2 linked regions of the Oryzias latipes genome follow. The protein of the gene in region 1 interacts with the protein of each later gene in a pairwise test. Links are inferred from orthologs where the notes say so. Each region holds a gene or a part of one and is shown on either strand. Other genes may lie near its edges.

Region 1 (5,386 bases):
TTAGCTTTTTTTGTTCATATATTCACATGTAACATGCATTAAATATATGTATATTGGTCCAACTATGTTAGTTTTTTTTTTTACTATTTTATAATTTATTTTATTTTTTTGCAGAAGGTGAGTATTCCAGAGAGAAACCTATGTGTTTAGAATGACATTCCTTTGTCTTTCACACACTGCCTCTGTACTTTTCTTTTGTAAACCTTAATCTCGACACTATGTTAAATGTTCTGGAGTATTGATCTGATCACTGTTGTGAATTTTGTGAACATTTGGTAATTTGAAGTTATTTCTGATTCAAAAAGTGTCTAATGTGAAAAAGGTTGTGGGTTCTTGTTATAAGCTTTAGTTTAAAAAAGTGTTGGAAATGGGACTTTCTTTTCATGGAGCTGCATATAAAATAACTTTCACTAATATTTCCTCTCCATGTTCTGCTGCCAGGAGCTCTTCTACGAGGACAGGCATTACCACGAGCACTGCTTCCGCTGTTTCCGCTGCGATCGCTCGTTGGCTGATGAGCCATTTACCAGCCAAGATAATGCTTTGCTGTGCAATGACTGCTACTGCAATGAATTTTCCTCCAAGTGTGTAGCCTGTGACAAGATAGTCATGCCAGGTAAAAATGATGGATGACTACTTTATTGGAGTAAACCTACCGGTATATTTTGTCTTAATCATAGATTTTTTAAATACAAAATATTTGTTCTTTTAAATACTCTCATGATTTATTAAAGTAAACCTCAGGATTTTATTTAAAAAAAACTATATACTATAACTATAAACTATATACATCCTAAATCTATTAAAATTTTGGATGGCAAAATTAATCTTCAAATAACTTTTACTGTGAGGTGCATTGCTCAACCCTTACTGTTATGTCTCTTCTGCCACGTGATATTTAAAAGTTGAAAATAAGCAAATGACTTGAAAAGTTGATGGCTCTGCAAACAACAGGAAGCTAGGAACAATGAAACTGATAAGGTAAGCAATCAGGCAGACACAAAAGAGGAAGAAGTTGTAGAATAAAAGGGGTGAGAGGGGTGAAGACGAGGGTCCCGAGCTGAGCAGCACCCACAGGTGAATGTGCCTTTGCTCAAACTGCTGCATTGAAGTCAAATCCCAAGAGCTGGTGTGCGGCTCACAAAACCATTGATGGCAACGGATAAGAGATATGCTTTACTTCCAAATTCTCCGTCATGGATTCTAGATCTGACTGTTAAATAAATATAGTTTGACTGAGCAGATTACAATGACCGTTGCCCAGATTTATCTTAAAATAAGCAAAGTTACTTCACATGAGGTACATAAGAATCCTCCATGAAAAGTTCAACAGATGAAGCTCCAAAAAATCCTCACATTGCTCAGCCGAACGCTCAGCTCTTGTTCACTTTATTGACTCCTATGGGGAAAAATAATGGTGTTATCTGTCATTATTTAGTTCACTCAATCATAGATTTTTTACATTTTAAAATATTCACAAACCTACAAATAGGAAAGTTTAAGTTTAAAGCCATCCTTAAATACTGTTGACAGGGTAATGTCTGTTCAAAGGTTCAATAAAAAAACTAAAGTAAATTTTGCTTTTGGTGTTGGTATTGTGTTTTTTAAGCTTACAGGAGTTTATTTATCACAGCCCCTGCCACTACACTGAACAAGGAATTCATTTTACATTCCAGTTTATTCCCTTTTATTGTTGGCTTGCCTAACACAGTGAGTCTTGTGCTACGGTCTGGTAGAATTTATAAAGAGAATTTAGTGTTTTTGATCTGAAAATGGTTTTGTAAAAAAATTGTTTACCATTTCTTAAACCAATCGGAAAAAACATATTCTCCATTACATATTTAAGAATGGTTACCATATGTAAATGATATAAGTCAATAAAAGAATCAGTTAGATAGGGGAATTCAAACGTTAATGTTCCTTTTTTTAAGGTTGAACTTAACCTTATTAGACACATCTCTGATATTTATAACATTATACCATTTTATTTTTATGTGTTTGTGCTTCTTATTAAAAATGTCTTCTCATGCATACACAGGTACAAGAAAGCTGGAATATGCTGGCTCTACATGGCACGAGGGCTGCTTCATCTGCCACAGCTGTGAACAGCCTATTGGCTCCAAGTCCTTCATCCCTGACAAAGACGAGCATTACTGCGTACCTTGTTATGAGGACAAGTTTGCTCCACGGTGCACGCGCTGTAAAAAGGTCAGATTGTTAATTTATATGTATACAGGAATTCAAATTGATTTTTTTTTAAAAGACCCTTCTAGTGCAGTTTTGCAGTTAATGACATTGGTCAGATTTAAAAAATAGAAGATGAAAAACTTATTTTGTGATTTTCCTTTTCCTTAAAGGCTTTGTCTAAAGGTGGTGTGACCTATCGGGATGAGCCTTGGCACAAGGAGTGTTTTGTCTGCACCAGCTGTGAGACCCAGCTAGCTGGTCAGCACTTCACCTCCAGAGATGAAAGCCCTTACTGCCTCAAGTGTTTCAGCAGCCTATATGCCAAGAAATGTGAGGCCTGCTGCAAACCGATTACAGGTAAGATTTTATGGTTTTTGTTTTAGAAGTAAGTTGTAGTGTGCATTAGCATTCTAGTTTTCTTAGCCATTTCTTTTTACATCACATCTTTGTAACATCAAATCCTTCATAGTAAAAGTGTTTTTTTTCTAACAATAATGCATGTTGCTTACAGAGACTACATATGTGCAGAGCAGAAATGTGTTTATTTACTTTAGACAAAAGTTGTCAGTTGGAAAAGCCTTTATACAGGTTGCCTTTAACTGTATTATTTTAACAAGTTAGTTAAATGACAGCTGACAGGCTCAGATTGTTATTTTAGGAATCTGGCAGCGGTGCAGAAAGGCGCTCTTCAGTGATAGACCTCTTTGTTTACGTTCTGTTCCTTCTGCTCTCCATTGTGCCATCTCTATTAGCACTTGTGTTATTTCTGTAGGCTACAAGAAGAAAAGACACTCAAATTCCAGTCTGACTTGACCGTTTATTTTAGCAATCAGACACAGAGAAACTACTATAATCACAATTCATGCCACATGCCAGCTTTATTTTTTTATGACAAGTTTTAACAATTTCAGATGGGAATTTAATTTCACGTCTATCACTATTAATTTGAAGGAACAAATATGGACAACTTACGCCTTTGACCTCCTTCTGTCCAGGAAAAGTTTTTTTGCAGCAAGACACATAATTTTTTGAATACAAAAGTCAAATGCTTGGACATTTTTCCCAAATGCAACATTTTCTAAGATTTTTTTAATGTTTTTTTATTTTGCTTTTTTTTTACCTAGTCATTATGCTTTGGCTAGTGTTCAAATATAAAAAAAGACCAAAGAGCAAAAAAATTGGAAGGTAAAATATAAATGTTGCAACAAATACCATTGCCAGTGTAAGAGTGGGAATAATTAAGCCAGGTCAGGTGAAGGCAGATAAAACTGTCTATGACCAAAATCTCCTTTTTATTTATTTTTTCTAAAATGCAAGTTGTTGTTTGAAAACAGGTAATTTTTGGATCTAAAGTGATTGTTGCACATGTCCCAATTTTGATAGAGAAATATTAGTACTTGATGGACAGGTACCCTGTCTGTGCAGGACGAACACGTGAACATGTCTGTATGACTTGTATGTAAAGCTGAGTCTATACTTTCCAGGAATTCAATGTTTAGGTGATAGAACTCACCTTTGGTTAAGTAATGAGGGGGATTGCATTGTTCTGTTGAAGAGCTGGTATTGACTATTACTGTTCCCAGAATAGTCATCACATAAAAAAGTCAAAATGCACAGATGGGGTTGACTTTGTTTCCAGTTGTCACTGGTGGGTAAAATGCAACATGATCAAAAATCCCAATTTGAAGAATTTAATTCCACATTGAAAATGCAATAGTTGTATGCTGTGTGCTACCAACAAGAGGATACCCATCAGAATACAGGACTACAAATTGAATAAAGCTTAATACAAAGAAATTAAGTTAAAATCTCACTCAAATCATCTTTTGATCCATTGTAAAAGTATTGCTTTCGGTCTTTTAATTATGATGATCGTTTTTAGTCAGCTCGGATGAGGAAAACAAAGAAGTACATGGATTAATTTGTCTGCAAGTGGATGCATCAGAATGGATCGGAGCAGTGAGCTTGTGGCCCACCAATCAAAGGACCTGCAAGCTTTTTCCAACAGCATTTTTGTCTGCTCCTGATTAGCAATGATTTGAATTAATACAAATGATGAGAAAGACTTGTCTTTATATATGTCCTCTATCATCACAAAATCCCACAAGAACATGTTAAAAACTTCAAAAATACAATTTTCATTGGAGTGTCCTGTACTTAAGTACTTTTGTCCTGTACTGAAGAACAGGACATAATACAATTAGTGCTTTTTCTTTTCTTTTTTCTGTAGACTAAATGTGAAAGCCTAAAGAAATTCCATCAGTTAACCAATGACAAGCCTGTAATGTGGGTAAATCTAGTTAAAGGAGTTTTCTGTGGTACACTTCATCCAAGGCAATATGTTTGTAATATTTTTCAAACCCACTCCATTCTTTTTATGATTTGTCTGCAACGCCAGTCCACCTCATTTTATTCTATTAAGACTCATTCCTATACTGAGCTTTGTTTTTCTGCTTCAGGTTTCGGTGGAGGGAAGTACATCTCGTTTGAGGATCGTCAGTGGCATCAATCATGTTTCACCTGCTCTCAGTGCTCCGTCTCACTTGTGGGTGCTGGTTTCTTCCCAAATGGCGACAGGATCCTGTGCCGTGATTGCAACAGCAACCTATAGAGCTTCCCTTTGCTCTAGTCCCATCCCACCTTCATCCTTATTTTTTTACTTTCCAGCACACAGGAAGGTAACACGGGCTATCAAAGGCTGCCTCAGGTCGTTTTTATGAAAAGACTTGTTTCTGTGTAAGATTTTTCTTCTGGAGCGAGCAAAGCTGCTGCATTGATTGCATGAACCGCAACCAAGTTTCTTTTATTAACCAGAAAGTTAATAATTTAGTTTATGGAGTGCCCAATTAACACATGTATGCTACAAAATGCTAAAGCAAAGAACTTAAAGTTGTTTGAGACTTTGTCAAAGATGAAAATGTCACCTCAGGTACAGGTCGAACTGAGGAATGAACAAAGAAAACCGTGCAGTACAGTTTATGAGCCCAGAATTCTGACATAAAAAGGGGGTGAAGCTAGTGTTTTTCCCCTCTAAAAGCTGCAGTTGTATGCATTTGGAATGCTACTTTTCCTCACATCTTTTATCTTTACTATTTCTGACTTTTTACATGTTGGAAAAAGTTTTTGTATATAACGTGGCATGTAAAATGTGGCAAAAATTCAGCATATTAATATGAATTAAAATATTAAAGCGGCCAAT
Region 2 (5,961 bases), on another chromosome or scaffold:
TGAAAATAAGATCGGAAACGTACGTGTTTACTTTCTTTTGCTGATGATGCAGCCGTATTACTTTTTGATGGTCGTATAATCTTCATACGCCGTCATTTAAATCTCAGACTCCGTCTCACTGAAGTATAGCGCTCTCTTTTTTTCTTCAGGCGTTTCCATGGTGACTCTGGAAATCTGCGATCCATTGAGAATGTCTTTATGTACCTGCTGTGCACGTGCATTAACCCAGGGTTACCAAGTGGAGCGTAATTATGCCAACTCATATCCGGTCTTTTGGAACCGACATACCCAGGGTAAGCAAGTTCAGGCGGATTTCAGCCAGAGTTCAGGGTTAAAGTCAGGGTAGTTTAAACGGGCCTTATGGAATACCCCCCTGCTCTTCTTATTTAGTGTAATCAACACATGGAATAAATAACAAACTTGCTGTTCCTCATAAACAGGAGGGCACCGCCTCCTATTTATGAGGAACTGCAAGTTTATTTATTATATTCTATTTTTTATTTATTATATTATTTAAAATGTATCTTTTTGAATATAAATAAAAACAGGCATATCAATCAATCCAGAATAAATCAAGTTAAAACTTATGTAACGTATAATATTTTGCTCCCCATAAAGATATATTCAATCAAAATTATACAAATAGGAAAATTCTGCAGAAAAAAACAAACAAAGCCTGGAAATATTAATAAGAAGAAATAACAAATCCATTTATTCCGTTTTCTTTGCTCTTTTGTCCATTTTTTTTAGAGCTGGACTCCTGGCATCATTTTTAGCAATGAGTTCATTTCTGCTTGGTGGGTGATGTGACGTCCTGTGTGTCTTTATGAAAAGGATCAGAGGAATTTGATTTTTTCTAAAAACCTGTAATTGGGAATATCATTTTTAAGTCTTATAAAACACTACAAACTAAATCATAGAACTCATCAGTGGGATTACTTCAAAAATATTTGATATTTTCCTAATTCTGTGCAACACCAACAGTAAAAATCCTCCAAAACACCTCAAAGCTAATAATAAACAACTGATCCGTTGTTTCTTTATCATCTCAAAAAGTGCAGCTTTTTTGCTGTCTGCATTACGTTCTGTCTTTATATTAAATACTGACACCAACTAAACCACAGGCAGACGTAAAAAATACATTTTATATGGAAAATAAAGACACGTAATAAAATGTCTCCAATAGTTAATAAATAATGGCATTATCTAGGATAGCACAAGGGTTAAATTTGCGCTCCGGGCAATTGCCCATACTTAAAACCGCTACTGGGTGCAGATGTAGAGCGGTCTACCTCTGATCGCAGGTTCAGGTCCCACCCTGACCGCCCATCATCAGTGTCCCTGGGGAAGACACTAAACCATACGTTCCTGCTGGTGGTCGTAGGTTGGCACCATTGTTCGACAGCGGAGCTGCTATCAATGGGTGAATGGGAATGTGACTTTAAGGCTCCTTGGGCCTTGAGGAGATGGCAATGCGGCATATAAGTTACGCCATTTAAGTTTGTTTTAGATTTTTAAAGACCCATTCTGATGAAATTGTGTTTATGGCGTTTTAATCGTGTTCTTTTCCGATGATGGAGGGCATGGATAAAGAAAATTTAGCTCAAAACTGTATTTCTTTCTTCAAATCATTGTAAATCAGGAGCAGGCGGAAAAATGTAGGTAGATAGTATAGTATAGAGATACAGATACTATCTGTGACATAGAAAATACGCTGGGTGGGGCCACAAGTTCCCTGCTCCGCCCCATTCTGATGCAGACAAATAATTCTATGTGGGTCTCGGCTTTTCTTGCTGGCATCTGGATCAAAACTGGCTCCAATATTGCTCTGCATTTTGGTTGCACAGCTGTTGGGTTGCTGGTAGGATGGGTTATAGGAGTGTGTAATCCGAGAGCTCTCAGGTACAGGGAGGGGAAGGAGGCAGGGTTCCTTCTTGCCAACAGCCCCGCCCACAACTCAGAAGTGAATTTCTAATGAACTCCTGCCGCTCTGCAGAAACTATGTCCTAGAAAACCACAGATTTGTTTGCTATATACAGCATAATCACAATTAAATGACCACTGGGAACATTTTACAATAGATCAGAAATTGACCAGAGTGGGACTTCAATCAATTTCATGGACTGCTTTTATCGTTTTTGTTTATTAATGTGGATGTGTGGTGGATTGTTGATTAATTATTAAGTAAAGCACTTTAAGTTGATGTACAACTTGAAAGGCCCCTATAAATAAAGTTACATTTGAATCTCGACTAGAAAGCGTGGAATAGTGGAGGAAAAAACACTTTCTGATACATTTTTGGTTATAACTTGTAGAGAAAGCTGAGGCAGAGAGTGAGGTGACTTTGGCTGAGCTTCTTTGCGTAGACAGAGAGCAGAGGCCCGCGTGTTCGGACGTGTCAAAAATGTTCTTCACGGTTTAGCAAGCGCTGAGTCTCAGCAAGCGCGAGGGCTCTTCTCCCGCCCACACTTCCCGCCCCTTCCCTGTCCGGCTTCTTCGCGCTCTGATTGGCTGGAGGAGGCGTCCGCAGCGGAGGCTTGTTTTTGTCGAACACAGATGGATGGGAGCTTCTGCTACGTCACAGGGTGGGCGGGGGGGAGGGCTTTCCAAAACAAAAACATTGCGAATCCAGATCCAAAATGGACGCCGTTCCCCCACCGAAGCACAGCTACCGGAGCCAACATGGCCGCTGCGCCGCTCAGTTTCACTGCTGAGATGGGCGGGCCGCTTTGAAGTTGAAGTCACGTGATTCGCACAGGGCCGTGTTGACCCATTCCAATATGGTGGCCAGCCTGGCTCAACGGTTTCTGTTGATGCTGTGGTTCTGCGGGGTCAGGCGCGGCACCTGCGGCGGCGAGGACCCCCACATTCTGGGGCTGCGGGTGGAAGACCCCACGGGAGCGGTGAGCATCAAAGACCGGATCATCTCGGTGCCTGAAGGAGCTTCGTTCCAGCTTCGCCTCTTCGGGGCCAACCTGAATGGAAACGGGACGTTGGTCGCGTTCGCGGCGGGGTTCGGAACCGCCGAGGACCCGTGCGGTTCCGACAGCAGCCGGCTGGAGTCCGCCTTCAGGGTGACGGAGGAGTTCAGCCAGGACGAGGTCCACAGCGGGGTCCTGACGGTCACGGCGAACCGGAGTATCCCCGCGGGCGGGGACACCTTCTACCACCTGTGCGCGCGCAGCGGGGAGACGTGGGCGTCCGTGACCCCGGACAGACTGCGGGTGATCCCCGGCGCGGCCGCGGGTTCCATACCGCCGTGGGGTCTGGCGCTGCTCGTCGCGCTGCTGCTTCTGCTCTGCGCGCTGCTGAGGACGCTGCACCTCAGCCTGCTGGGGCTCGACCCTGTGGAGTTGTACGTGCTGCACAGCTGCGGCTCCGAGGAGGAGAAGCGGGCCGCCAAGCGGCTGGAGCCGGTCCGGAGGAGGGGGAACTTCCTGGTGAGTGTGTGTGGGGGTTGGTGAGGAAGATGCTGGTCTGTTGGCCTTCGCTCAACCCGCCTCTTCTGCGCAGGCGTGCTCGCTGCTGTTCCTGTGCGTGCTGGGACACTCGGTTGTGGGGGTGCTGCTGTACCGGGCTCTGGGCTGCATCGCCTCCGCCGCCTTCACCGGGGGCTTCCTCATCTTCCTCCTGGCCGAGCTGGCCCCTCACATCCTCTGCTCGGGGTACGGTTTCCAGCTGGCGCCCGGCCTGACCTGGCTGGCCCAGGTGTGCATGGTGCTCACCTGCCCTCTGTCCTGCCCCCTGGGGCTGATCCTGGACCTGGGCCTGCAGAGGGACATCAGCACCAACTGCATCAGCGAGCGGGTCTTGGAGATGGTCCGTACCAGCGTCAACGACCCCTACAGGTAAACCGGATCCCATTTGAGGTCCGAATTCTGAGACCAGGTCACCCGGCCGCTGATCAGGACGCTCTGGGCGACCGTGAGGAGGGGTGACCCTCCAGCAAAACCAGAACCGTTATCGGCACTGGAGTTGGAGGCCAAAAAAACATCATAAGAACGTAGTAACCATGACGATGAGACACAGCAACTCATTGAAATGCGGTTTGGATTAGAACATCTTTTAACGTGATCCACATTACTTCTCGCTGTTTTTCTATATGTCATGAACATGAATCAGTGAACCTTCATTCCCGACGTCTCCATAGTAACCACCGTGCAGCACGCCTCCATCGTACCACAGCAAAAAGGGTTCAACCTGACCTTGATACAGACGTTCAAGTTGTAAAGTTTGAATCGGTGAACTGTCCTGACAAGACTGCAAAGAACAGGACGGCCATCATTTCTGTCTGTAGTTGCTTTGCCCCGCCTTCAAAATTCCTGACCAATGACTGAAGAGATCTTTAGTCATGTGGTTTTCTTTACAAGCTTTGGTTCGAAACGGGAAAGTTTCTAGTTTGAATGCAGCCTTAAAGATAGTTTAGGTCTAGTCCTGAAGACAGAAGTGGCTTCCACAGAGGAGGAGCTTAATAACCGATGCTCCGCCTTCATTTTAGTTGAGTACATTCTAGAAGCAGCAGGAAAATCTGGAACTGTTTCAGAGAAAAGACAGAGCTGTACATTTAATTCCAGCTCCTCTGGGATCTTCAGCAGAATCTGGATCCACTTCAGACGGTGTCTTCGGTTCTGATGGAACCCAGATCCTTCAGAACGGAACCGATGTCCTCAGAGAAGTTCTCTGCTGATGACTTTTCACATCTTCAGGATTGTGAGATCTTTTGGCATTCCTGTGAACCTCTTTGGGGGTGCATCTCGCCTGAAGGTGTGCTCCACGCCATCGGTTTCATGCTTGGCGCTCCAGATCCGATCAGGAAACTGGGAACACTCTAGAGCAGTGTTTTTCAACCGGTGTGCCGCGGCACACTAGTGTGTCATGGGAAATGACCCATTCGCTGATCTAAAAACATTTCCCATCTCCAGGATATCAGCTCTGTGTTCATCCAAAAAACCCTGATAAAACACTGAGTAGTTAGGAATACGAAAGATCATAAAATACTTTTTTCTCTGTGCTTATTTGATTCTATTGAAGACATTTTGATAAGAATGATGGTACTGCGATTTAGCCGTAGCGTCAGCTGTTTTCTGAAAAGTCCCGCCCCTTTAACTGTCTCCACCAATCATTCTTGGAGGCTTAATCACACGTCATCAGTCTGACCAATCAGAAGTGGTTAAAGTCTTCACTTCCTTGTTCAGATTCTGCTCATAACGTCTCTCAGTTCCAACTAAAATACCAGCTAAAGTTCGTCTTTAGTGGTGTAGCTTTCCACAGAATCCAGTGTCAGACCGTGGAACAAGTGAACAACACCATGAAGCTCAGAGACGAGAATCTGTCTTCCATTACTACATCTCCCATGATGCATTGGGTTAAAGTGACAGCGTCTCAGCGCACAATGAGTCTCTCCTCTTAACGTCTTGTAACCACAACGAACACATCCAACAGTTTTCTTTTAACTTCACTTTTATTACATCTTTTAGAAAAAACAGCTGCAGCTTCTATCTTTTTCTGCCACAATTATCACAAAAATGTGAGTGAGATCATGGAGGGGCTGTAGATCAATACAGACTATGAGTTTCTCCTTTTTTTTTCTTCCAATTTTTGGATGCTGGTGTTCCGCGGGATTTTTGTCCAGGTTAAAGTGTGCCGTGGCTCAAAAAAGGTTGAAAAACTCTGATCTAGAGGAGCCGGAGTCTCCCTGAGGCTCCTGACGTGACGGAGTCTGTGGTTGAAATGCTCTGTGTGCAGCGAGTTCGTGAAGGAGGAGTTCAGCCACGGGATGCTGCGCACCAAGACGGTGGAGGACATCCTGACGCCGCTGAAGGACTGCTTCATGCTGCCCAGCTCGGCCGTCCTGGACTTCTCCACCATGTCGGAGATCATGCAGAGCGGCTACACCCGGGTGCCCATCTACGAGGAGGAGAGGTGGGAGCTTCACCTTCATCCAAAATCAGGTTTTAAACG

The links.
Region 2: the proteins of fhl3 (region 1) and cnnm3 interact in binary tests that used the Homo sapiens proteins (3 or more experiments, as listed by UniProt). The two-hybrid records come from large-scale screens. The link is inferred for Oryzias latipes from reciprocal best matches to the Homo sapiens genes FHL3 and CNNM3.

The regions. Positions count from the first base shown.
Region 1 is NC_019874.2:23,686,987-23,692,372, reverse strand, and holds part of fhl3 (four and a half LIM domains protein 3), read left to right. Parts: intron 1-441; coding exon 442-616; intron 617-2,038; coding exon 2,039-2,208; intron 2,209-2,357; coding exon 2,358-2,544; intron 2,545-4,646; coding exon 4,647-4,798; 3' UTR 4,799-5,386. UniProt on the Homo sapiens protein: Recruited by SOX15 to FOXK1 promoters where it acts as a transcriptional coactivator of FOXK1.
Region 2 is NC_019870.2:1,781,222-1,787,182, forward strand, and holds the start of cnnm3 (metal transporter CNNM3), read left to right. Parts: upstream 1-2,430; 5' UTR 2,431-2,780; coding exon 2,781-3,440; intron 3,441-3,513; coding exon 3,514-3,848; intron 3,849-5,745; coding exon 5,746-5,922; intron 5,923-5,961. UniProt on the Homo sapiens protein: Probable metal transporter.